3 linked regions of the Pelodiscus sinensis genome follow. The protein of the gene in region 1 interacts with the protein of each later gene in a biochemical or structural test. Links are inferred from orthologs where the notes say so. Each region holds a gene or a part of one and is shown in the gene's direction. Other genes may lie near its edges.

What was found.
Region 2: the proteins of NTRK2 (region 1) and BDNF form a complex in vitro, tested with the Homo sapiens proteins (3 studies listed by BioGRID). The link is inferred for Pelodiscus sinensis from reciprocal best matches to the Homo sapiens genes NTRK2 and BDNF.
Region 3: the proteins of NTRK2 (region 1) and PTPN1 form a complex in vitro, tested with the Homo sapiens proteins (2 studies listed by BioGRID, with this or other methods). The link is inferred for Pelodiscus sinensis from reciprocal best matches to the Homo sapiens genes NTRK2 and PTPN1.

The regions. Positions count from the first base shown.
Region 1 is NC_134716.1:40,936,629-40,943,807, forward strand, and holds the start of NTRK2 (BDNF/NT-3 growth factors receptor), read left to right. Parts: upstream 1-4,066; 5' UTR 4,067-4,351; intron 4,352-4,746; 5' UTR 4,747-4,964; intron 4,965-5,039; exon of another isoform or gene 5,040-5,312; 5' UTR 5,313-5,545; coding exon 5,546-5,757; intron 5,758-7,179. UniProt on the Homo sapiens protein: Receptor tyrosine kinase involved in the development and the maturation of the central and the peripheral nervous systems through regulation of neuron survival, proliferation, migration, differentiation, and synapse formation and plasticity.
Region 2 is NC_134714.1:94,153,705-94,161,030, reverse strand, and holds the start of BDNF (neurotrophic factor BDNF precursor form), read left to right. Parts: upstream 1-4,316; 5' UTR 4,317-4,503; coding exon 4,504-4,554; intron 4,555-7,326. UniProt on the Homo sapiens protein: Important signaling molecule that activates signaling cascades downstream of NTRK2. During development, promotes the survival and differentiation of selected neuronal populations of the peripheral and central nervous systems.
Region 3 is NC_134728.1:18,986,642-18,994,674, reverse strand, and holds the start of PTPN1 (tyrosine-protein phosphatase non-receptor type 1), read left to right. Parts: upstream 1-4,944; 5' UTR 4,945-5,008; coding exon 5,009-5,167; intron 5,168-8,033. UniProt on the Homo sapiens protein: Tyrosine-protein phosphatase which acts as a regulator of endoplasmic reticulum unfolded protein response. Mediates dephosphorylation of EIF2AK3/PERK; inactivating the protein kinase activity of EIF2AK3/PERK.

The DNA.
Region 1 (7,179 bases):
TATCTGTTGTCTCTTGTCTTATACTAAGCCCACATCTCCAATTACTGGAGGATCGATGCTATGGCAATCGACTTCCAGGGTTCAATTTAGTGGGTCTAGTAAAGACATGCTAAATCAAATGCTAAGGGCATCTTCATTCACCGTATCAACCTCCTCCTGTGTGGAGCCACCTCAGAAAATCGACGTAAGATATGTCAACTCTAGCTATGCAATAGACATAGCTGGAATTGCATATCTTACACCATTTTTTTCTGCCAGTGTGGATTTGAGATTACATTTTTTGGGGGGGCAGAGACCATCTTTTCATCCTGTATTTGTATAACGCATAGTATAAGAGGGCCTAGTCCATGCTCTTAGGCACTATGGTAATACACAAATAATAAATAATTTCTCTCCCCCATATACATCGGGATTTTAAAAAAAAGGACTCATGAAAGTATTCTTATTATTTACACTGGTGTGAATTGGTAGAATTAGACATACATACAATTAATGTGAGAGAAGTATTAGGCACAACAAATGTCGTCTTTGCAGAAAATAAGAAATCAGGGACAGCTAAAAATTTATTTGGTCCTGTATAGGGATGTAAGTGACTAGTCAAATCACTACTCGACTACTTACTTCCTCCCACCCTTGCTGCCTCTGTATCAGAGGCAGCAAGTGGGGGGAGCAGGAGCCAGCACCAACTGCACAGTGCAGGGGGAATGGGCAGGAGAGGCAGAGGTGTAGTGGTCCGGGACCCTGTGGGAGCCAGGACTACTCAGTTCTGTCTCACGCCAGGCCAGGGACATACCCCTGCTGTGACTCTGCAGTTTAAATGTAGTAGGAGCCAGGATGCCTGTGTGCAGGGCTCCTACTACATTTAAACTGTAGAGCCTCAACAGGGCCCCTTATCAACAAATTGTGTAGTGGATACAAATTGTATCCACTACACGATTAAGTCAAATACCCGCTTCTTAACATTCTTAGTCCTGTAGTACCAAGATAATTGTCACTAAGCAGAGGAATCCTAGAAACGTAGGGCTTGGAGGGAGCTTGAGTCAGGGTGATAATTTTGCGAGGCCCAGGGCAGCGCCGCGGGGCTTGAGATGGCACAATTTCGTGCATGCGCTTCTGCAGCAGCCAACCGGAAGTAGCGTGCATGGGGCATGTGCACAGGGCCTATTGAAGCGCAGGACCCAGGGCAGCCGCCCCACTCGCCCTGCTCTATATCCACTGCTGGCTTGAGTCATCAAGTCCAGTCCCCTACGCTATGGCCAGACTAAAGAAAGATACACTAATCCTGACAAGTGATTGCCCCACTTGTTCTTAAAAACCTCAAATGATAGAAGCCCATTCCAGTGCTTAACTACCCTTATAGTTGGAGGTTATTGCTCCTAGCATCTAACCTCAATCTCCCTTGCTGCAGAATAAACTCATTACTTCTTATGCTACCTTGAGTGGACATGGGGAACAATGTATCATACTTCGCTTTCTAACAGCCTTTAACACACACACACACATATATATATAAGAAGACTATTACCAGTGCCCTCCACCCTCCACCATCTTCTTTTAGCAAGACTTACCATGCCCACTTGTTTTAACATTTCCTTCTAAGTCAGGTTTTCTAAATCTTAACATTTCTGTTGATCTCCTCTAGACTCTCTCCAGTTTGTCCACATCTTACTTAGATATGTGGCATCTAGAATTGGACGTGGTATTCCAGCTTCTGCCTCATCAGTGCTGAGTAGAGTGGGACAATTACCTTTCATGTTTTATATACAACATTCCTGTTAATACATGTCAGAATATTACCCTTTTTAAACTGCATCACATTGATGATGATACGCAATTTGTAACCTACTATAATTCCTGCATCCTTTTCTTTGTATGACCATCTTACCAATTATTCCCCATTTTGAATTTCTTCATTTGATTTTTCTTTCCTTAGTGAAGGATTTTGCAGTTGTATTTATTGAATTACATCTTACTGATTTCAGACCAATTCTCCCATGTCAAAGTCATTTGAACCCTCTTGTTTATGACCTCTCCCTGCTTGGTGTCATCTGAAAATGTTATAAGCATATTCCCCACTCCAGTATCCAAATTATTAATTAAAATATTGAATAGTGTTGTATTATCCCAGACCGATGTCTGAGACCCCCCATTGGATACATCCTCCCAATGTGACAGTGAATTACTGATAACTGCTTTTAAAGTATGGTCTGTCAACCAGCTATGTATCTACTATATAGTACTTTAATCTAGACCATAGTTCCCTAGTTTGCTTATGAGACTGTTGTGGGGCCCTTTGTCAAAATCCAAATCAAGATATATTGCATCTACATCTTCCCCTCTATCCATCCACTTGACCAGTAACTCTCTCAAATAATGAAATTAGATTGGTTTGAAGTTAGGATGACTGTTTCCCCTTTTAAAGATAATTACTGTAGCAGTCAAGATTTACTGGCATGGCTCCCTGACAGGTATCCTGCTTCTTTTATGATGCTGTTTGGCTGCATGCATTTTGCCATGACATAGGAAAGAAGGGGAATGTACTCTTGATAGTAGATTTATATCTGGATAACAATTTAATAACATTTACGCACATGCAAAATATATTTAATTTAACCCAAAGACATTGTTGGCAATATTTCCAAATACAGTAGAGTCCTTATCATCCAACCTAAATGGGACCGACCTGATGCGGCTCCTGCCGGGGCGCTTCTTCCCTGGCAGGAGCCGCATCAGCTGCTCCTAGAGAGCAACAGGACAGCTGATGCGCTCCTGCCTCGTTGTCTCTGGCAGGAGCTGCAGCAGCTGCTCAAAGAGAGTGACAGGGCAGCAAGCGGGGCCGTTCTCCCAGTCCGGACTGTATCCGACCCTGAAGCTTCTGGGGACAAAGCTGCAGGGTCAGATAAAGCGGAGTGTCAGATTACCAGGTGTCGGATAATCCGGATTCCACTGTATGCCTATGTTTCTTATCTTCAGTCATTCCATTAGAAGAGAGGTATAATATTACTAGGATGGCTGTGGCTATGCTTATAAGATAATAGGGATTTTGTCTGGAAGTGCCAAATCTTCGAGTGCCCAGTGAGAATTCAATGTTTTTTGAAGCCTGAGCAGACTTACACAAGAGTTGAGTGCTCATGCAATTAGTAAAAGTGCTATGTCAAGGTAACACCTGAGTGCTTTCAAAACATTGTGATCACCGCTTGATACACACTTCTAGAACATCACTTCAACCTATCTGCCTTTTTAATTCTACAGTGAAGTTCTGAACTAATTATATAAAAATCCTCAGTTGGTTAATATAAAATTAAGATGAGATAGAGCCTTCAACGCAAGCTTTGTAAAAGCTACCATTTCTAGACCAAACTGCTTGGAGGCCTACTTAGGAGAAATTTAATTAAAGGTGATGCAGTGAATGCACTGGTGTTTTCCACTGTTGTTCAATGGAGCTTGGTCAAAGGCGATCTGTGATGAAGAAGACAAGGCAACAAGATTAGTCATATTGAACCAGATATTTAAAGTAGGTGTGTGCTATTTCACTTAGTTTATATGTGCAAATCAGATAGTGGTGTGCACACCTGTTACATGCTTATTTACCTGTAGGAGATCTAATTTGTGTCCACACATCAATTTGCTCACGTAAATTAGAAAAGATCTAATTTACATCTAATTCCCATTTCCCTTTTGGCATTAGAGTAAAACACTAATACAACAGATAGCACAATTCTGAATTCCCTCTAAGACCATCACTATTACGGTGGATTTCCTTGAGTAGTGCAGCCCAGAAGAAGGAGGAAAGGATGTACACGGTAAGATGGGCAGTGTACTGCATACACTGCCTGCTGGCGCATTCTCTTTTGCTTGTGGTGGTGTTCAGGTTGTAAACACGCGGTGGCGCCAGAGCTCCCTGAAGTCTGAAGCACTGCGGTGGATTTTCCTGTTTCTTTCAAATTACTGCGGAAAAAAAAATCCTATAGAGCCACTAATGAAAAGGCAAATTCCCAGACAAGGCATTTTAATGTCGCTCATTCATCACATACCTGAGTTCTTAAAGCGATTGCATTTTATTATGCGAGCATGAAAGATCATATTCTTTTCAATAACCGTTTTTCTCTTCGCATATGTTTGTGTATTATATGCCCCAGCGGAGGCGTGCAAATCTATAAGGCGAATTAGCCTAATAGTGATCCCCGCCGAGGATTAAAGGGCTCGTGGCAAAAGCGGTGTATGTCTCCAGTCACTATTACGCAATGTAAGCGCACGGAAGGTCCGAGACACCGGGCCGGGATAACTGCATCCAAAAAAAGCAAGGGAAGAAACCAGCCAGCTGAGCAGTCGAGAAGGGGCATGTCACTAGGTATGTCAGTGAGCCGGGCACAGAAAGCCCGTACAGAGCGATCTATGCAGAAAGCCATGATGTTCATATTAGAACAAGCCACACGCAACCGGCTGCCTTAGGTTGTGGCGAAACGCGCTCCCTTTCCCATGCACATCACGTCTGTGTCTTTCTGGGGATGGGAAAGATGCGTGTCTGGGGTTGGAGAAGGAAGCTTTGGCTTCCTACACGGAGAAGACGGAGGGTCCAGAGGAGGGCCCATGCTGATGGTTCACCTCTCTCTTGTGCGTGTGTGATTGTTTGTATGTGTGTAGGCTCCTGGCTGCCTATTGGCATCTCCTTCTCGGCACCCTCCCTCCAGCCCTCCCTCGCCCCTGCTTGCTTTTGTCTTTTTTTTTTTTTTTTTTTAATTCCAGGCTCATTTTGTGGAGTTTCTGCCCCTCTCTGCGTCAGCCCCACGTCACTTTGCCAGCAGCTCCTCAGCTTGGGCTAGAGCAGGAGCCTGGGTTGCTTTATTATCAGCTGGAGACGGTGCTTAAAGGGCAGAGCCGGGAGCCCCGATCCCCCCGCAGCAGCAGCGCGCTGACTCCTCTGCCCCCGGCAGCAGCGGCCGGAGCAGGCAGCGCCCCCGCAGGTAGGAGCCTCCGCCCTCCGCCCCCTGCAGTGTCCAGCCCGGGGGCTGCGGGTGACCGGCTCCCCTGCCCTCCCCGCTCCGCCCGGCGCTTTGCAGCATCCTCGGGAGCCGAGGAGCTGCCGCGGCCCCGCCGCAGGCGCAGCTGCCAGGGCGGGAGGGGACGGTCCCTGCCCCGGGTGCCCGCCAGGGGCCCGCGCTCGGCTCCCGGGGCAGGTGCTAGTGCCCGCGGGGGCTCCCCGGCGGCTTCTCTCCCTGCCCCCCACCGAGGCTGTGGGGACCCCGGGCGGGCCGGGGGCCAGGCTGGGCCGGGACCGGCTCCGCTCTCACCCGCGTCTCTCTCTCCTCCAGCTCCGCCGCCTCCAGCGCTCGCCCCGAGCGGCCCCGGGGAGCCCGCGGGGAGCGGAGGCGTCGCTCCCGCCCGGCCCGGCGCGCCCATGTGAGCCCAGCCGGGGCCGGCACCGAGCCCGCCCGCAGCAGGATGCCCGAGTCGCAGCCGCTGTGAAGCGCCCAGGGGGCTCCGCGCACGGTCGCGGGAGGAGGCCGTCGGGGCAGCGGGCAGCGCTGGATTGATCGGGGCCAGCATGGTGTCCTGGCGGAGGAGGTGGCAGGGGCCCGGCCTGGCCCGGCTCTGGAGCGTCTGCTGCCTGGTGCTGGGCTCCTGGAGGGCTTTGCTCGCCTGCCCCGCGCCTTGCACATGCAGCGCCTCGCGGATCTGGTGCATCGAGCCCGCGCCGGGCATCGTGTCCTTCCCGGTCTTGGAGAGAAGCGCCGAGCGGGAGAACATCACCGACATGTGAGTAGAGCAGCGGCTGGGCACAAACGAGGAGATCCCTTTTATCGCTTTAATTTTATGTCATTTCCATTATGATACTGCATCCAGCTCGTGTATGGATATTCTCTCTTTCGGTGTATCCACAGCTAGTACATGTGTGTACCAGCTAATTTACATAACTAATCATTGTATTTTCTATGTGTGTACATCAATCTGCCTAGGAGAGAAAGCCAGAGAGAGAGTGTGTATGTATAAAGGGACAGAGAATCTCCACAGTATGTAGATACAAGAGAGAATCCTTTGCATTTTGTGTTGCTTGCCTCTAAGGCTTGCAGAAATGATGCTCACATTTTCCTTGCAGCATCTCTTTTGCAAGCCTCAACAGTAGCCAGTATTTTTTTTTAATTTCGCTCTGCGAAGAACACCAAATAGGAAAGGAGGTTTTGCTTAAGGAAAGATTGTGAACGATCTGTAATAGGAGAAGTTCTCTGCATTGAAAGGCACTTGCTCGGTAGGAAAATGTGATCGTTGGAAGCCTAAAAGCCTGGTATGATTTAATTTAGACTTGACTTCCCAAAGATATAATTTTGAAGCCATTTAGATTATACATCTTAATTGCCCTTGGTACAGTTTCCTGGGAATAAGTTAGATAATAAAGGAGTATAGCGCACAGATTGGTGCTGATTTTGGTAGAAGGCCAATGTGTTAGCAGAAAATTCTTCTCTGTCAGATTTTTCTTGGGAGAGGTATCAATGTAGCTGCCACTTTATCTTTCTCTTTTACAGATTTTTTTTTTACAGATCTGTAAACAATTGCTACACTACACATATCCCACATCTCTTCTAGAGAATAAATTAATAGGGACCTCTTTATTCTCTCATGTTCACCTCTACCTGTTCGTCCTATTCATTATTCATGAACAAGAACATTTTGATGGGTCACTCTTTCCCCAATCAAAAATTTGACCATTTTGTTTTCTTCACTTTTTTGAAATGGAAATAGTGCATTCTGATAGAGTAAAAGGAGGACTGGGTAATATGCATGTAAGCTCCTTGTGCACGTGCTCCTTTTCTGTAAGGTAGCTAAAAAGGATGCAATGCTGTGTCTGCTTGTGAATGCAGAGCGACACTCATTTCCCCCTAGTTGTAAGCAAGTATTGTACCATGATAATACCCTTATTTTTTATGGGGCTTTGACAAGTAGGTACCAGAGGGTTTTCAACTTCAGCCATTGTGAGCCACTACAGTTGAGACCAGTGTAGAGGATTGTGCTCCTGCTTGGGGCCTGATTCTGTATTCTCTGCTTAGGTGGGCCATCTTCCAATTCAGGGGTGGGGAACATCAAGTCTGGGGGCCAACTGCAGCCCCTGCCTTGCCTGGCTCTGACCCCTGAGCTCAGGACCCACTCAAGTATTGGGGAGCCCATGTTAATGCTCCAGCCTTC
Region 2 (7,326 bases), on another chromosome or scaffold:
TCATAAAGCTTTGATGAGACACTTGAGCTGCCTCCTGTGTTGCTGGGGCTGCAGGAGGCGGCTGGTGGGACTGGGCGGCTGGGAGAGGATGTGACTTTCCGGAGGGACCCGAGCAGGCTTTGTGTGGACAACAAGGTACGAGGCGCCTCTTGGCCCCAACTAACTCGCTCTTCTCCGCCAGCGCGGCCGGCCGGCCGGGAAAGTTGAGTGTCAGGGCTGGGCACTGGCGGGGGGCCGCCAGAGCAACTTCTGTCCGCGCTTCCCCTGAGCCAGTCCTCGGGGGCAGGCGCAGCTGGGGAGCGGGGGAGATCCAGGGCAGGAGAGGAGGGGATCCCGTGCAGAGCGGAGCGCATGGCTAGCGGGGAAGGGTGGGCAGGCAGGGAGCCGGGAGCGGGGGGGGGGGGGGGGGGGGGGGAGCGCGGTTAGGGGCTCTGCAGCTGGGGGGAAAGGAGGCGGGCGGGGAGGGTTGGGAGCTGGGCTGCGCGGCAGCGGGGGGGACCCGAAGCCGGAACCAGACCTAATTAGGGGGTCCTGGGGTTCCCCGCTCAGCAGCCCCGCCGCTGCCTTTGTTCCCCGCCGGATCCGCGGGCGCGCAGGCACCTGTCTGCCTGCTGCGCGCTGGGCAGGTCCCAGGCAGCACCGGGCAGTGCTCCGCTCCTCTCCAGCCCCCGCGGGGCGCGGGACTGCTGCTGGAATCCGCTCCGGGCAGCCGGGGCACCCCGGCGGCGGCTGGGAGCTGGGGCGGGCGGGGACGCGCCAGGCGGACCCGATAAGCGAGCCGGGCTTCCCCGGCTGCCAGAGCCTGGCGGGCGGGCTGCACAGAGCCCCGCGCGCCGTAATGGAGCCGGGAGTTGCGCAGGAGGCTGGCGGGGGGCGGGATTGCCCCGCGCTACGGGCGGGGAGCGCGGCCGCCTGCCCCCGGGCGGCAGGGAGCGCGGCGCGGCGGAGGGAGGCTGCCGCCCCTGGGCGCACGCCCCCCGCGCGGGGTGCCCATGGTGGGAGCCGGGAGAGGTTTGGTGGGAAAGGCGGCCCTCTGCCGGCCGGTGCTGGCGCAGCCGCGAGGAGCTGTGACCAGCCAGCTCAGTCCCCGGCTGCAGGCTGGTGGGTCTTCCACGGATCTTAGGAGCCACTTGAGCCCGCTTTGTCCGCTAAGCGCCATCGGGAGGGAGAGACGCTCCCGCAGGGAAGGCGGGATGGGTAGCTGCGTCTGGCAAGCCGTAGCGAGCGGGGCAGAGCGGGGCACAGCTGGCATCACTTCCAACGTGTGTGTGTTGTCTTAAGTGAGCTTGCTGTGGGGTTTTTCCCCCAGTCGGTAACCGCACTGCCCGGCGAACAGAGAGGAAGACGCGCACTTGCACAGGAGTGAAGGCCAAGTGGATTTCTAGGTGTTAGAGTAATCTCCCCAGTACTGGATCTCTTTCTGCCATGGTAGTTTGCTGGCTACACTGCTGTAACTCAAGCTGCTAAACAGCTTTCCAGTACAGCACCCTGAAGGAAAGCTGTAACATAGCGCAGTGAATACCAACATTGTACATCTTTTGTTTGCTAAAAGTTGATACTTTACATGCTCACATTCAAGACTGGTTTTTGTTTTCTATAGTCGTAAAAGTAACGCGTGGGCTTTCATTGTTTTGTGCGACATTAGATTTTCTCCAGATTTAAAGTTACTTGGATATGACATGGACAGCTTCAAGCTATGATAGCTTGAAGGAATTAAGCGGTGTAGTTTTGGCAAGGGGCACACACAAGTGTATGTATAACATATTGCCTGAAATGGTAAATGGAATGTTTGAGTATAAGGAGAAGAAACTCATTGACTGCCGCTCACAATAATGTATCTATACTATCAACTGAGGTACAGTTAGTGAATGGAAAGATTCACTTGTTGAAATGTAACCTTTCCTGGAATTTAAAACATGCTGGTTACCATAACTGGAATTCCAATGTCATAAAGTCTTTGTCCTGTTCATCAACTTTGTGTTAAACTGAAGAAAGAATATGAAAATGTCCAGTAAACAATTAAACTGATTATGCTCTGGGTGCATTCAATGAAGAAGGGAACTCTTTAAGGGGCAAAAGTTTCTATCTTTAAGTAAATTAGATAATAGCTATGTGTTCTTTCTTTTAAGAATTAGGAAGATGGTAAAAATTGATGTTTTTTTTTTCTGTCCTTGTTTCATGGCTGCATTGAAAATATTTCTCTTTCCTTTGAAAAGGAATTAGTGTTAAGTGGTAAGCTGTGTTGAATGGCCAAAAAACTAAATTAATGATTTGGATACCTTGCTACTGACTTTTTTTAAAAAAATACTCTTGTAATATTATAATGTAATATAATTATGGACATAATTTTTAATTCCAGAGATACTATTAGTGTCTTCACTTGAACAGTAAAGTTTTTTTACAATGTACATATTTACTTTCACTTTATTATAGGTTGCTGTTTTGAAGTTATTGCCATTGTGAGATCAATATTCATTACTTATTTATGCTTCTAGTAACTGAGTTTTAATGTATGCAGGGAATCTATCCTGGTGATATTTTCTCTTCAGCAAGTATTTATGTATCTGTCATTTGTGGTTTGATAAAAATACATATACATGAAAAATCTATGCTATTTCATATACATCTACACATAGAGGGGACAGGCTGTGAACCCCCTACTTATACATGTGAACACTTAGTCATTCAACAAGTCCCACTGATTTTTGGGTTGGTAGTTGTTCACCAACATGAATAAGAAGTTTGTAATTTATTTGAATGTGTTTAATCAGTTACCTCACAATAAAAGGTCATATTATTGATTTAGGGTCAATTTCTCATCCCTTAATCACAATGAATAGTAATTTAGTCCTTGAATTGCACAAAATTCAATAGATCTATCTGCTGAGTAAGATACTAATTAATGCAAGTAAGGGTATCAAAATTGGCCCTGTAGCATTTGAATTACTATGGGTCCAATGGTGGCCTGGTTTGTGAAGCTATGCAGTGATGTAAGCAGGAATAACGCTTTCTGCATCCATTTACTAGCTGTCTGAACCATGGGTAGACAGATGTGCAGGAAGAGGAAGTCTTCACAGAGGCATTATATCTCCTCCCACTGGGCATGTGTGGTGCTTTAGCTGTGCAGATGGACCATATGCAGGGTACCTGTCACTCAGACTATGAGGGGACCTGCAAGAGAGATTGAGACTCTTCTGGTACACTCCTGGGGTGGCGCAACAGTATGTTGTCCCTTATTCTGGGCTCAGGACAAAACCCCAACTTTGCCTCCTCCAATATAAAATCATTTGAAAAGTGCTGCTAGTCACTGTTAGTTAACACATCCAGGAAGACTCTTTCTACTATGCTCCATAAATTAACCAATTCTCTGCTGTCATACTATTACTTAAAGTTCAACTTCACCAAACCACAGCTGGGAAAACCCAAATATAAATATAATGCTTTCTGTTCAGACCCACCACATCCTAGCACTGCAGAGAGGATCCCATGGTTTTAACGCTGTAAAGTCAGGTTAAAGTAGGCCCTCAGGCTCAACATTTTAATTCTTATCTGAATAATCCTGCTGAAATGGAGGACTGGGTGTAGAGGTGTGAAGGAGAGGGCAAGAAGTGTATATTATACGTGTAAGGGGTTGAGAAGGCTAAACTGAAAAGGCTGGCTCTCATCAATATGCTTTCAAACATAAAACACATTAGTTTATATGTTGCCACAGAAGACTGAAGGACCCAGCTGAAAACACAGTACAGAGATACATTTTTTTAAATTCATTTTTCTAATGTTCAGTCAAGACACACGTAGGAAAATAAACATCCAATAAATCTTTTTTATAGTTGCACGCATAATGAAGATCCAGCACTGAAAGTAGTCTGCAGTTTTAACTTATTATCCTGACAGTAATTTCTCACTATAAACAATAGGACATAATAGCTGAAGAAGTAGAAGTTGTTGCATTATTGCTCAGTGAATAGATCCTCAAAGGTGCACATAGAAAAGCAGAAGTTAAGGAGAAGTTATGGGTAGAAGAATTTCAAACTTTGGGTATGTTAGCCTGAGAATGGAGATCAGTGAGCTTTCACACTTTTCTATACTCAGTACACCACTGCTTTAAGAATAAAAGGCCCTCAAATTTTACTTTAAGCGTTTGCCTTATAGATATATATGTATGTCTGAAGTGCAGTTTTAAGCATGTGTTGTGTGCCTACATTGAAAATCTCATATTGGCACTGCGTGGGGTAGTAGAGGCTCTGATGTAAGCAGATATATCCTTTTAGTAGAGTAATTACTAACTTGTCTTGACTTGTTTTCAAATTATTGTTATGAGCACTCAGTTCCTCCTAATTGCAGAATTGCTGCTTAATTGAAAGACTCTCAATCATCTCTTACAGCAGTTCATATGCTGGCATGCTTGGTTATATCAAACAGTGAACTGTATTTTAAATAGTTGTTTTTAAAGACAGCTAAAGTTGAGTACTGGCTCAGTAATTTAAAAAAAATACTTCTGAAATGAGACGTGGTGGAATAAATTACAGACTCTACTTCCAAAAAAGGAAAAATGTGAGTAATATCTCCATTGAGGCATCTTATTGCAGTGAACAAACAGTACAGATGTGCTTTTAAACAAGCGGATTGGTGTACAGCTGGATCTGAGACTGACAGCTGGTAAATTGTGACTACTGTGAATCATGCTGAGCACTATTAACTCATTGTTGCCTTATGTTTTCCTGTCTGACTATCCATCTGCTGTCTTTTGTCTGGTACCTGGATTGTAAACTCTTTGGGGGGAGTGGCTTTGTACCATGTTTGCACAGCACCTATCACAATGGAGACTCCAGGATGCTGTCACAGTAATAATGTAGATTAACTACCCTGTGTGTGCATTTAACAGCTTGCTCTTATACTAACTTGTGTATTAAATGATGTTGCCAGATTAAATCCTGGTGCCACCTGGAGGCAGACTAAATACTAATAGACACCATATAAGACGGAAGAAAATTCTTTAAATTTTGGACTAGACGGGTGTGTTAATAGGACAGCTCTTTTGTTGGAATACCACTTACAATTATTTAAGCTAGACATATATTGCTATAATTTTAGGTGCTGATCCTTCAGACATGGATATTGGTAACTGTATTCAAATGTGAAGTCTCACCAACATCTCTGAATATTCACATGAGTAAATTTGTGCAAAAGTGTCTTTGCTGGTTTAGGGTCTTAATTTTTCACTTTCTTCACAATACTGGGACAGATCCTCAGCAGGTGTAAAGTAGCTGCATTAACTTCAGCTGAGCCAGACTGACTAGCTGAGTTCTGTTAACATATTGAAGATATGATGACATTAACCACATATTTGCTAATCGTGCTAGATCAGCTTTGTTAAAGGAGGTGCTCAAAATGAAATTAGGATACTTTTAATCATGATAAGTATTAATTCCAATTCTTAATAAATCACTCAAATATGTGAAGTGAAAAGGAAGGGAGTAGTTTATATTTTCTAATACAAACAAAGGATTTGCTGGGACAATACTGACTAGCTATGATTATAGTCCCTTAGTTACCCTGACTTGTCCCAAACATCCCATTACAGCATAATCTCTAGACATCGCTAATTGATTCAGCTGTCTGAAGTTGAGTTCCATTGGACCACTAGGAAAAGTAAAATAAGACTTTACGTAAATACTTACATTTTCATGAGTCCATGACAGCTGTCATCATGCTGTAGCAGTTGTAGATTTACTTCATTTAGAATGTAGTCTCTTTGCATGAAGTAATTCTCTTTTCAACTAGTTAATTAAAACTCTCATTATTTACCATGGCAGTGTGTACAGAATTGAAAGCATGTAAATCCTCTAAAATGCTTGAAATGTAATGGCTCTTTGTTCCATAAATGTGCCTTAATTTGGGGGCAATTAAATCTATTTGCCTTTTTCTATACACTTTGACAGCAAAATGCCAAAATCCTATTAACTTAATTTCCGACTGTATTATAAATTTACAGAGAAGTAGGTACGATGTTTTAATTTCAGAGGAGAATAATTGTAAAAGGTATCTGAAGGAGTTAAGAGGAATACTTATTACTAAATTCTAGATAAATATTTGTAGATCTGAATAGCTCAAAATCTGAACTACTACCGCCACCTAGAGATAAGTCCCACACATTTGCCAGGTATGCCAACAGCTTCTTTTGTGTGCAACTCTTGAAGATTGAATTTAGTGATGAGACTATTATCTTAACTGCTTCTGAGTAGACAGAATCTAGGTTTAGCTGTGCATAATGTCTTGTTTTTTAAATATTTATGCACTAAAATTGTGTCTACTTATCTGCCTCATCAGAAAAGTCATAATCTTCACATGGTCCAGTTTGTGTGGAGTAAACAAATAAACAAAGAAGGATCACTTTCAGTAAATCAAATGCCTGCTTTATATTATTGCTGGGGAAATATTTGCCAGTTAAATTTCTCTGGGTTTATTGCAGGTGTCATTGAGACTTGATGCATGTCCAAAGTGTACACCAAATAGATGAGTAGAAAATCCCTTCAAATATTTTATTTTAGTATACATGAAAACCTATTTTAAATCATTTTACTGAGCATGAAAGTAAGGGTGTTTTGATAGGAATTTTAAGAATTTTTTGAGGCTATGAAGTCCACTCTGCATTGAAGTACAGTAAATTGAAAACCTCCGCCATTGATCGGACTGTGTTCAGAATTTCAGCCACTATCTTTCAATACAGTTTTGAAATTGAACTGAGGAAAGGCTGTGCAGATGTGTGTTTATTTCCTCCAAATATTGGACAGTGAAGAGTGGATGCTTCCATTCTATGTGCGACTGCCTCAGAGAATGCCCTCCTTTATTCTGGGTTCCACAACTTCCCCTCTTAAATATCTCTTATATCCTTCTGTCTGGTGAAAATTATAGTACTTGCCTTCCATTTGGGAATATGCCCTTCCTTGGTGCAGCCATCAGGAGTTGCTCATACAGAACACTCGTGTGTCTCTGCATTCCTGACTCCCAGAACTCTTCGTCGTTTTTTTGATTATTTCTCCCTGACCTCACATAAGAGACCAGTGACTTAAAAGTAGACGTAAGCCACCAAGCTTGAGTAGATGTCTAGGAGATTGAGGTCCCCAGCTCCCACAGAATTGCAATGGAAGTTGAGACTTTAACTCGTAAGCAAATTTAAGTTTCAGCCATTAGTCTATAATATTTACTTAGCACCTTGTCTTTTTCAATGCTGACTCTGGTTATTTCTAAGACTCTTCAGAACCTACAATTACAGTTGCACAGTGTATTATGGTGGATGACTAATCTACGTTCCTTAAATTTCTG
Region 3 (8,033 bases), on another chromosome or scaffold:
CCTAGGAACTTGTACCTATGCAATATTATGTAAACTTAAGTCACAGATGTCTGTTCGGATTAGATTTGTTCCTGATTTTACAGGTGTTCAGAGATTCAACTCTTAGGGTCTGGCTCTTATTCATTGTAATGTGTGTGTGTGCCTCATCTGACAATGTAGCATTTTTGGAGAATGAGGGGAATAGAGACTAGACTGTGTTGGATCTTCACAGTAAATACTCAACACTGAACAGCCTAACTTACTATCAACAGTTAGTAAGAAAATAAGGACAAAGAATATCTGAGGCTCGAAGACCCAAAGGGCCTCTCAGAAGCTGCCAACAGAGTATCATCTTTGTTTAAAACAAGACTGTCTTTCTGTTAAATAAAACAGAGATGTTAATGTGGATTAATGGGGAAATTGTGTTTAGTTTGATAACATGAAGTATGCTGAATGTGAATGACAAACTTTCTGGTTGGGCATCCAGCCTGCTGGAACTGTTATGTATTATTATATGTAATTGTATTGTTAGAGTCACAATGCCACAGTGCAGGAACATCATGTATCTTATTTACAACATTTTAATGGGGATTTATTACTCTGGCTGTTTTTAAAACTAGGTCATCTTGAAATCTGAAATATTGTGACCACAGATGCAAATTTGTATCGAATGGCTGAAATGGAATAAGCCATTTTGTGGGTCTCCAACTGATGAAAATAAGACCATGTTCTTTGTGTTTTGATTGGTTAGTTTGCTGTTTTCCAGATACCTTTTTAATTGATATACCTCAGAAACAGATTCATTTAAAAATGCAAATTTTGCAGGTGCTTAGAGTTCAGACTACATGGGAGATGTAAAAGTAAATCAAGGACCCCCTAAGGACTGTTGTGCAGGCCAAAGATTAGGCAGAATGCTGTGTGCTCTGTCCTCACCACTTCCAAACACATATTTAGGGTGTCTGGTTTTAGCAGTTTATTTATTTAATTTTTCAGGGTTCATTTTTAGCTATTTTGAGGTTTATGTAGCTGTCTAAAAATCAGGAGTTTTGGGGACTTTCTTTTTGCATTTACTGAAATAAGTAATACAGTACACTGCAATGAGTAATCTCTTTGCAATGTTTCCCAGTGTTAAAAAGCACTAGGGAACCTTTAGTGCATACCAGCAGGGTCTTCATGGACCAATTAAATGAAACACATTAGTGCACTTTAGAAAGTGCAGCCCTATAGGCTGCATTACTGAACTGTGCACACAACCTACAAGAAACCATTTCTGGTGTTTTGCCAGGATTTATTGGATAAATGTTGATTTCACTGGTATTTAGGGTGTTTTGTTTGTTTTATTTTTTGTATCAGAATGTTTATCAGTGTTTATCAATTAAACCTAAAATCAGAAACCCTACACATATACCAGGAGGTATCCAAAGATTCCCCAGCTCAGGGAATACCTCTGACGCTAGCATAAAGTGCTTTAAGAGCCTTTTGCAATCCTCCAGCAACACAAAGGGGACTTAACAAGCCCTGTGGATCGGGCCAATTGCCTGTATACTGCAGCCTATGATTTTTAGACATTTCAAGAAACAATTTGGTGGTTGCAGGTAGAAGTTATCAACTTATTGATATGTACGTGATCATTTGTAACCACAGATACAGGCAGTCCCCGGGTTACATGACTTACATCGGATCCCTACTTACAAACGGGGTGAGGCAACCCCACACTAGCTGCTTCCCCCCAGCAGACCAGGGAGATGCGAAGCTAGTGCTCCCCCCAGCAGACCAGGGAGACGCGGAGTGGCTTTTCTCAGCAGACACCTCAGCTTGAGAATAAAGGACTGAGGAGTGAGGTGTGGGAGAATAAAACTGAGCGCTGGAGAAATGTTTGGCTAGAGTTTCCCCTACAATATGTACCAGTTCTGACTAACATACAAATTCAGCTTAAGAACAAACCTACAGTCCCTATCTTGTACGTAACCCGGGGATTGCCTGTACAGTGATTTCTGAAAACAGTTGTGGCAGTTGCTTGCAGAATATATGTACATGAAATTATAAAAATCTGTGCTCAGATTTTAAAACATTAGAAACACTATCACGTGTTTAAAGTATGTTATTTTTTAATCCATTTGCCATTGTTGTGTCTGTGCCACCTAAAAAGTGTCTAATTTATCCAATTTGCAAGTGCAATTGCATGTGGAAAGTACACACACTATTATGCATGTATTTGCCTATGCCATTAAATGACTAACCTTTTGAAAACCTAATGCCTGGACCTTAATTGCAAATGCATCTGGTTTCATGATTTTAGAATTGTGCATGCATTTTAATACCAAAACAGTACAGCAGTGCATGCAATTGCAATAACAGTACAATTAAGATGCACATTTCTGAAAAAAAATAGGACCAGATGGGCACTATTGCAATGATAAATTATCCCTCAGCCAAAGACATTATTAATTATATACATGTAAATGTTTGAGAATCTTTATAATCCAATTTAAAGCTGTAATTTAATGCTGAATCCCCAGAACTAAAAATTCCCAGTGATTTAAGCAAATCATTAATCAAACTGTAAATGTAACTGTGCATGTATAAACTTTCTTTCTCTTACTTATGTTTATTTTAAACCATTCAGGGTGAATGCTGCCTTCAGTCTATGGCAGAATTCCAGTTGTCCAGGACAGCATATGGCTCTTAGTGACCTGGGACAACTATTCTATGATAACAGTACCTCAGAGAATTGTGTTCTTCATGGATCCTTGACTAAACAGTCTGCACTGATTTTATCTATCAAGTTAGAGCAGGAGTCATGAATCCACAAGTCTGAATGCTAACTTTCCTTATGAAAAACTTTTATACTGTAGTAATTCAGTTATCTACAGTTATGGCATCCTGGGCTTGATCCTGTCCTAAGCAGGTCTGTGTTTAGAAGGGAAATTTCTATGTTGCAGTAACTGTTGCTGATGTCTAAATAGAATCAAAGCTGAGAATGATGTAAGGTGTGTGCTTTTAAAAGCTGCTGCCTTTCACTCCAGGGTTGGTTGCATTTTAATGGAACCTAGTCAATGGATATAATTTATGGAGCATATGACATCCTTCAAGATTAAAAATGGTAGTGAGCTGTAAACTATTGTAATTGGCTGAACTGCCAGTGCCTGACTAGGCTGACCTTCTAAGGGTCCTTTGGATTAAAAGCTGCCACCTGAAGATTGTCTCACAGGAAAAAGATTTGTGCATCACAAAATGGTGATGTTTATGTCCCAGTAATGTAGTATCAAAATGTCTGAGTCCAACATGTCTCAATGACATTTTGAGTGGATTCTATTTAGGGTTGGGACAGCAAACGTAATTCATTGGGGCTAGGAGTGTGTTAACCCCTTTGAAAACTAATTATGTACATGTAGTGACATATACTGTACATATAATAAATGGTACAGTTTACTTATGTGGGGAGTGGTGAAAGTAACAGTGTGAACTATATATGGGTATGTCTGCATTTGAACCCTCTTTCAAGAGAGGGATGCAAATGAAGACATTCAAAATTGCAAATGAAGCCGGGATTTAAATATCCCATGCTTCATTTGCATATTCAAATTATGACGCTGTTATGGCCTTATCTCGAAATAACTGGTAAACCTCATTTTATGAGGAATAAGGGTTATTTCAAGAGAAGGGTTTTATCTCGAAATAACCGCGTCTTAACAGCGTCTGTTATTTCGAAATAGTGCTATTTCAAAATAGCACCATAACATGAATATGCAAATAAAGCACGGGATATTTAAATCCCAGCTTCCTTTGCAATTTCAAATATCTTCATTTGCATCCCTCTCTCGAAAGAGGGTGCAAGTGTAGACATACCCTTTCTGATCTGGCAAATGGACATAGGGAACTGGAACGGAGTGGGGAAAACATAGCATTACACCACCCATCTGCCAGTCCCAGGTATAATTAGACATAACTAAGGTAAGAGTGTTACCAAATTTGTCTGTCTTTAGGCTGGAGAAAAAATACAGACTCTATCTTTCTGTCAGTCCTCATGACTCCCCTGTCTGTCCTCAGGCCTTGGAGGGTGGCACAGCTTCCCCCATATGCCTATCTTCGGGGAGGTCAGTGTTAGCCCTGGGGTGGGGAGATACAACTCCCCTGTCTGTCTGTCTGTCCCGGGGGAGGCACAGCTCTTCTGCCCCGATTGTCTGTTCTACTGGGGAGGGGGACAGGACCCGGCAGGGGAGAGGGAGACCAGCTTCTCTGTCTCTTTGTCAGGCCTCAGACGTGGACGGGGGCACTGCACTGCCTGCTTGTCCTTCTGGGGGGGAGTAAAGCTCCCCTGTCTGTCTGTCTGTCGGGGGGGCGGGGCACAGCTCGCCCGTCTGTCTGTCTGTCGGGGGGGCGGGGCACAGCTCGCCCGTCTGTCTGTCTGTCTGTCTGTCGGGGGGGGCGGGGCACAGCTCGCCCGTCTGTCTGTCTGTCTGTCGGGGGGGGCGGGGCACAGCTCGCCCGTCTGTCTGTCTGTCTGTCGGGGGGGGCGGGGCACAGCTCGCCCGTCTGTCTGTCTGTCTGTCTGGGGGGCGGGGCACAGCTCGCCCGTCTGTCTGTCTGTCTGTCGGGGGGGCGGGGCACAGCTCGCCCGTCTGTCTGTCTGTCTGTCGGGGGGGCGGGGCACAACTCGCCCGTCTGTCTGTCTGTCTGTCGGGGGGGCGGGGCACAGCTCGCCCGTCTGTCTGTCTGTCTGTCGGGGGGGCGGGGCACAGCTCGCCCGTCTGTCTGTCTGTCTGTCGGGGGGGCGGGGCACAGCTCGCCCGTCTGTCTGTCTGTCTGTCGGGGGGGCGGGGCACAGCTCGCCCGTCTGTCTGTCTGTCGGGGGGCGGGGCACAGCTCGCCCGTCTGTCTGTCACGCCACAGTGGAGGAAGGGGGGGGCACTTACGGCTTCTCTCCCCGGCTCTCCCAAGCTGCCCCTCCCCCGGCGGGGGCGGAGGCGGGCCCGGAAGCGGCGTGGCCGGCCGCGGCGTAGTTCCGGTGGCCGGGGCGGGGAGTGACATGCAGAGCAGGCAGCGGCGGCCCCGCGAGCAGCTGGAGCCGGAGGAGCAGGGCGCGAAGGCGGCGGCGGGGGGCCAGGCCCGGGGGGCCCCCGCCATGGAGATCGAGAAGGAGTTCCGCCAGCTCGACCAGGCCGCCAGCTGGGCTCTTATCTACCAGGTGAGGGGCCGGGCCGGCTGCACCAGCGCGGGGAGCTCTGTCCCCCTCCCTTTCCGGGGCCCTGCCTGGGGGGGGAGGCGGGAGCACTGCCCTCTCCGTATCCGGAGCTCTGGGGGGCTCTGCCCCCCCCTCCCCGCACTCCGCTCCCCCCTCTCCGTCCGGGTCCGTGGCTGGCGGTGAGGGGTTGTGTTCACTTCCGAGCCCCTGGCTCCGTCCCTTGGATGGGGAGCTGTGCCCTGCAGCTTATTTATTCCCCCCCCCCCCCCCCGCTGCCGTCCTGCTCACGGCCCTGTGAGGATCTCTGCCCCCTTCTCCCCATGTGCACCCTCCCCCTCTCCCAGGGTTTTGTGGAGGGGAAACGCTGCGCTCTGTCTGGTTTGGGGGCGAGCTCTGCTTCCCCCACCCGGTCCAGCTTGGGAGTTTCCCTCTCGTGTCATGAGCCTCGAGGGTGAGCCCTGCAATCTTCTTCCCCCATTTGTTCCGCCTCAAGTAGACAGTCCGATGTAGAGGCCCCTCTTCTTCCAGTAGATCCTTTCCAAAACTAGCCCTCACGTCTGATTCTTGGGTTTCTAGTTATACACCTTCCTCTTCTGTATTTTTCCCCACCCTTGCTCAATCTTCTGACTGGGCTGGAAGGAAACTTCCCTTCCCTCCCCTCAAAAAGGACACACCTTATTGCAAGGTTTTGGGGGAATAGCAAGCACTCAGGACAAAACCCTGAAGTGAGCATTTCACTTCCTATGTGTATCTCTATAATACAGCTCCCTGCACAGGGCCCTGGGGAGGGTGAAGTATGTATGTTCACCCATTGTACACAAAATAGAGAACTGATACCCCTTATAATATTCCACCCCCATCCCTGCATCTGAATAGGGAATAGTTTTTGACACATTTTTCCAACCATCCTTGTACAAGCCTGATTCAACATCCCCTTCTCCCCCCCCCCCCCATCTAAGAAGAGGCAATAAATTCCATTCTTGAGCCCTGAGGGGGTCTGAAATCATATACTCACACCCAGCTCACTTTCCCAGTGGATTGGTGTTGGGAAGGAGGTTCTATGTATGTGGTTTCTGAATCATTTTAATATATAAAGTTTGTAACATTTGTTGTGTGTACTTGTTTATAGTGTGCCTAGGGTAGAGATTATTTATCAGTAATGATGTTTATATAAAATAGATGTTTAAATTGTTTTGCTGTTGTACTTACCCGGAAGCATTTCATTTTCATAGTAGCAGAACTTTAGAAAAAAGATACATTTTTTTTTTTTTACTGGCCATGTGGTGGATTTTGAGTGTGCAGTCCCTAATTTACATTGCTTGTATTTTTAACAAGCTCCCTGGACAATATATCCCTAAAATAAACAGGATATGAGAGGATAAGGAACGCTAACAGCTGGGTTGATTAACTGAATCTTCTAATATGTTGATCAGGTAGCATTAATATAAAGTAACAAGTTTTTTGCTATTGCTGTCTCATTGCTTTACAAAGGCAAAGTTGTGTGGGACTGAGTTCTCTTCACAAACCTCTAATTTGTCCTTTTTAGCTGATGTTTTGTAAGATCTGTTGTAATGAGTGTTTTGACATCAATTAAGTTCAGATGCTACCAGATTGCTGTGATCTACAGAAAGGATCAATATCTAAAATTGGGCTCTCCTGCCCATTTTTTGTGAACTTATCTTGCCATGGAGTTTTACAGAAGAGGTATAATAGTTTTTTCTGTTCACAGTATGCTGTGAACAATCTAATGGAACATCTTGAGCTTCCTAAGGGAAGGTATTTGCTTTGCAAAATTAGAAATGAAGAGTTAAAAGACATCTAATTTAGGGTTCACTTCTGAAGATATTTTGCTTCCTGCAGTGTTCTAATAGTTGGTAACTTGATAGCAGTTGAAAGTCATGTGAATTTGTGAAACGAGGTTTTTTTCTTTCTAATCTGTTCTTGAAACATTTGATGTGTGTCAGACTCAGTGCTCAGGAAATAACTTTAACATCAGACCAAGTTTGTAATACGTTAGTCAAAGTTGTGAATTATGACATAAAGAAATTCAGTTGTGGCTGCTGCACCACTTTAACTCATGTCATCAAGTTGAAGTTCTTGCAGCATAATCTTATGCTCCCTATTGGGTAACAACCACAGTAATTGCAAGCAGTTGCTTAATTTGTGCTAGAGAAGCAATCTTGAAAATGATGCTTTGGATATTCATAGCTTTTTAACTAACTCTCCTTTAGTTACCAGTGTGTGCTGAATTTTAGTTGGCAGTGATCAAAAGAGAAAATCTGATTGCATCTTGAGTTGGTGTTGGCTGCATTCTTAACAGGGCCATGGCATTTAAGTACCAGGTCAGAATAGGGGCATGTTGGTTTGGCAGCATGAGGATGGTTGTATGACAAATGTCAGTTTATCCCTGTTTTGAAAGGTTGATAGAGGATTCACTCTCCCAGGTTGATAGGTTATGGCCTCACAGCTTTCTCCAGCAATGTGTATGGTTCACTGTCTTCTATAATTGAGAGCTTAGGTACACGTGATAGAGTGCTAGCTGTAGCACTCTGGTCATTGTCTCCAGTTGCATCTGGAGTCTTCTTTGTGCTGTAGCAACCTTAATCTATTTCCATGGAGATTACTGACACCTGTGTAGAAATTGGGCTAATGATGTAATTGGTTTAGTAAGGGGGTCATAATTGATGGGAACAGGGAGTAGAGGAAGCTCACATGGTGAGCTAGGTGGAATAGAGAAGTAGTATGAAAGGTTCTTCCTGGTTGTATATTTTTGCTACTCTTGCCTTGTTTTGAAAACAGGCAATTAAAGATGCATGTGATGGAAGAGTAACTGTGTGTTTGTGACTAAGGGACCTCAAAACTACCTTAG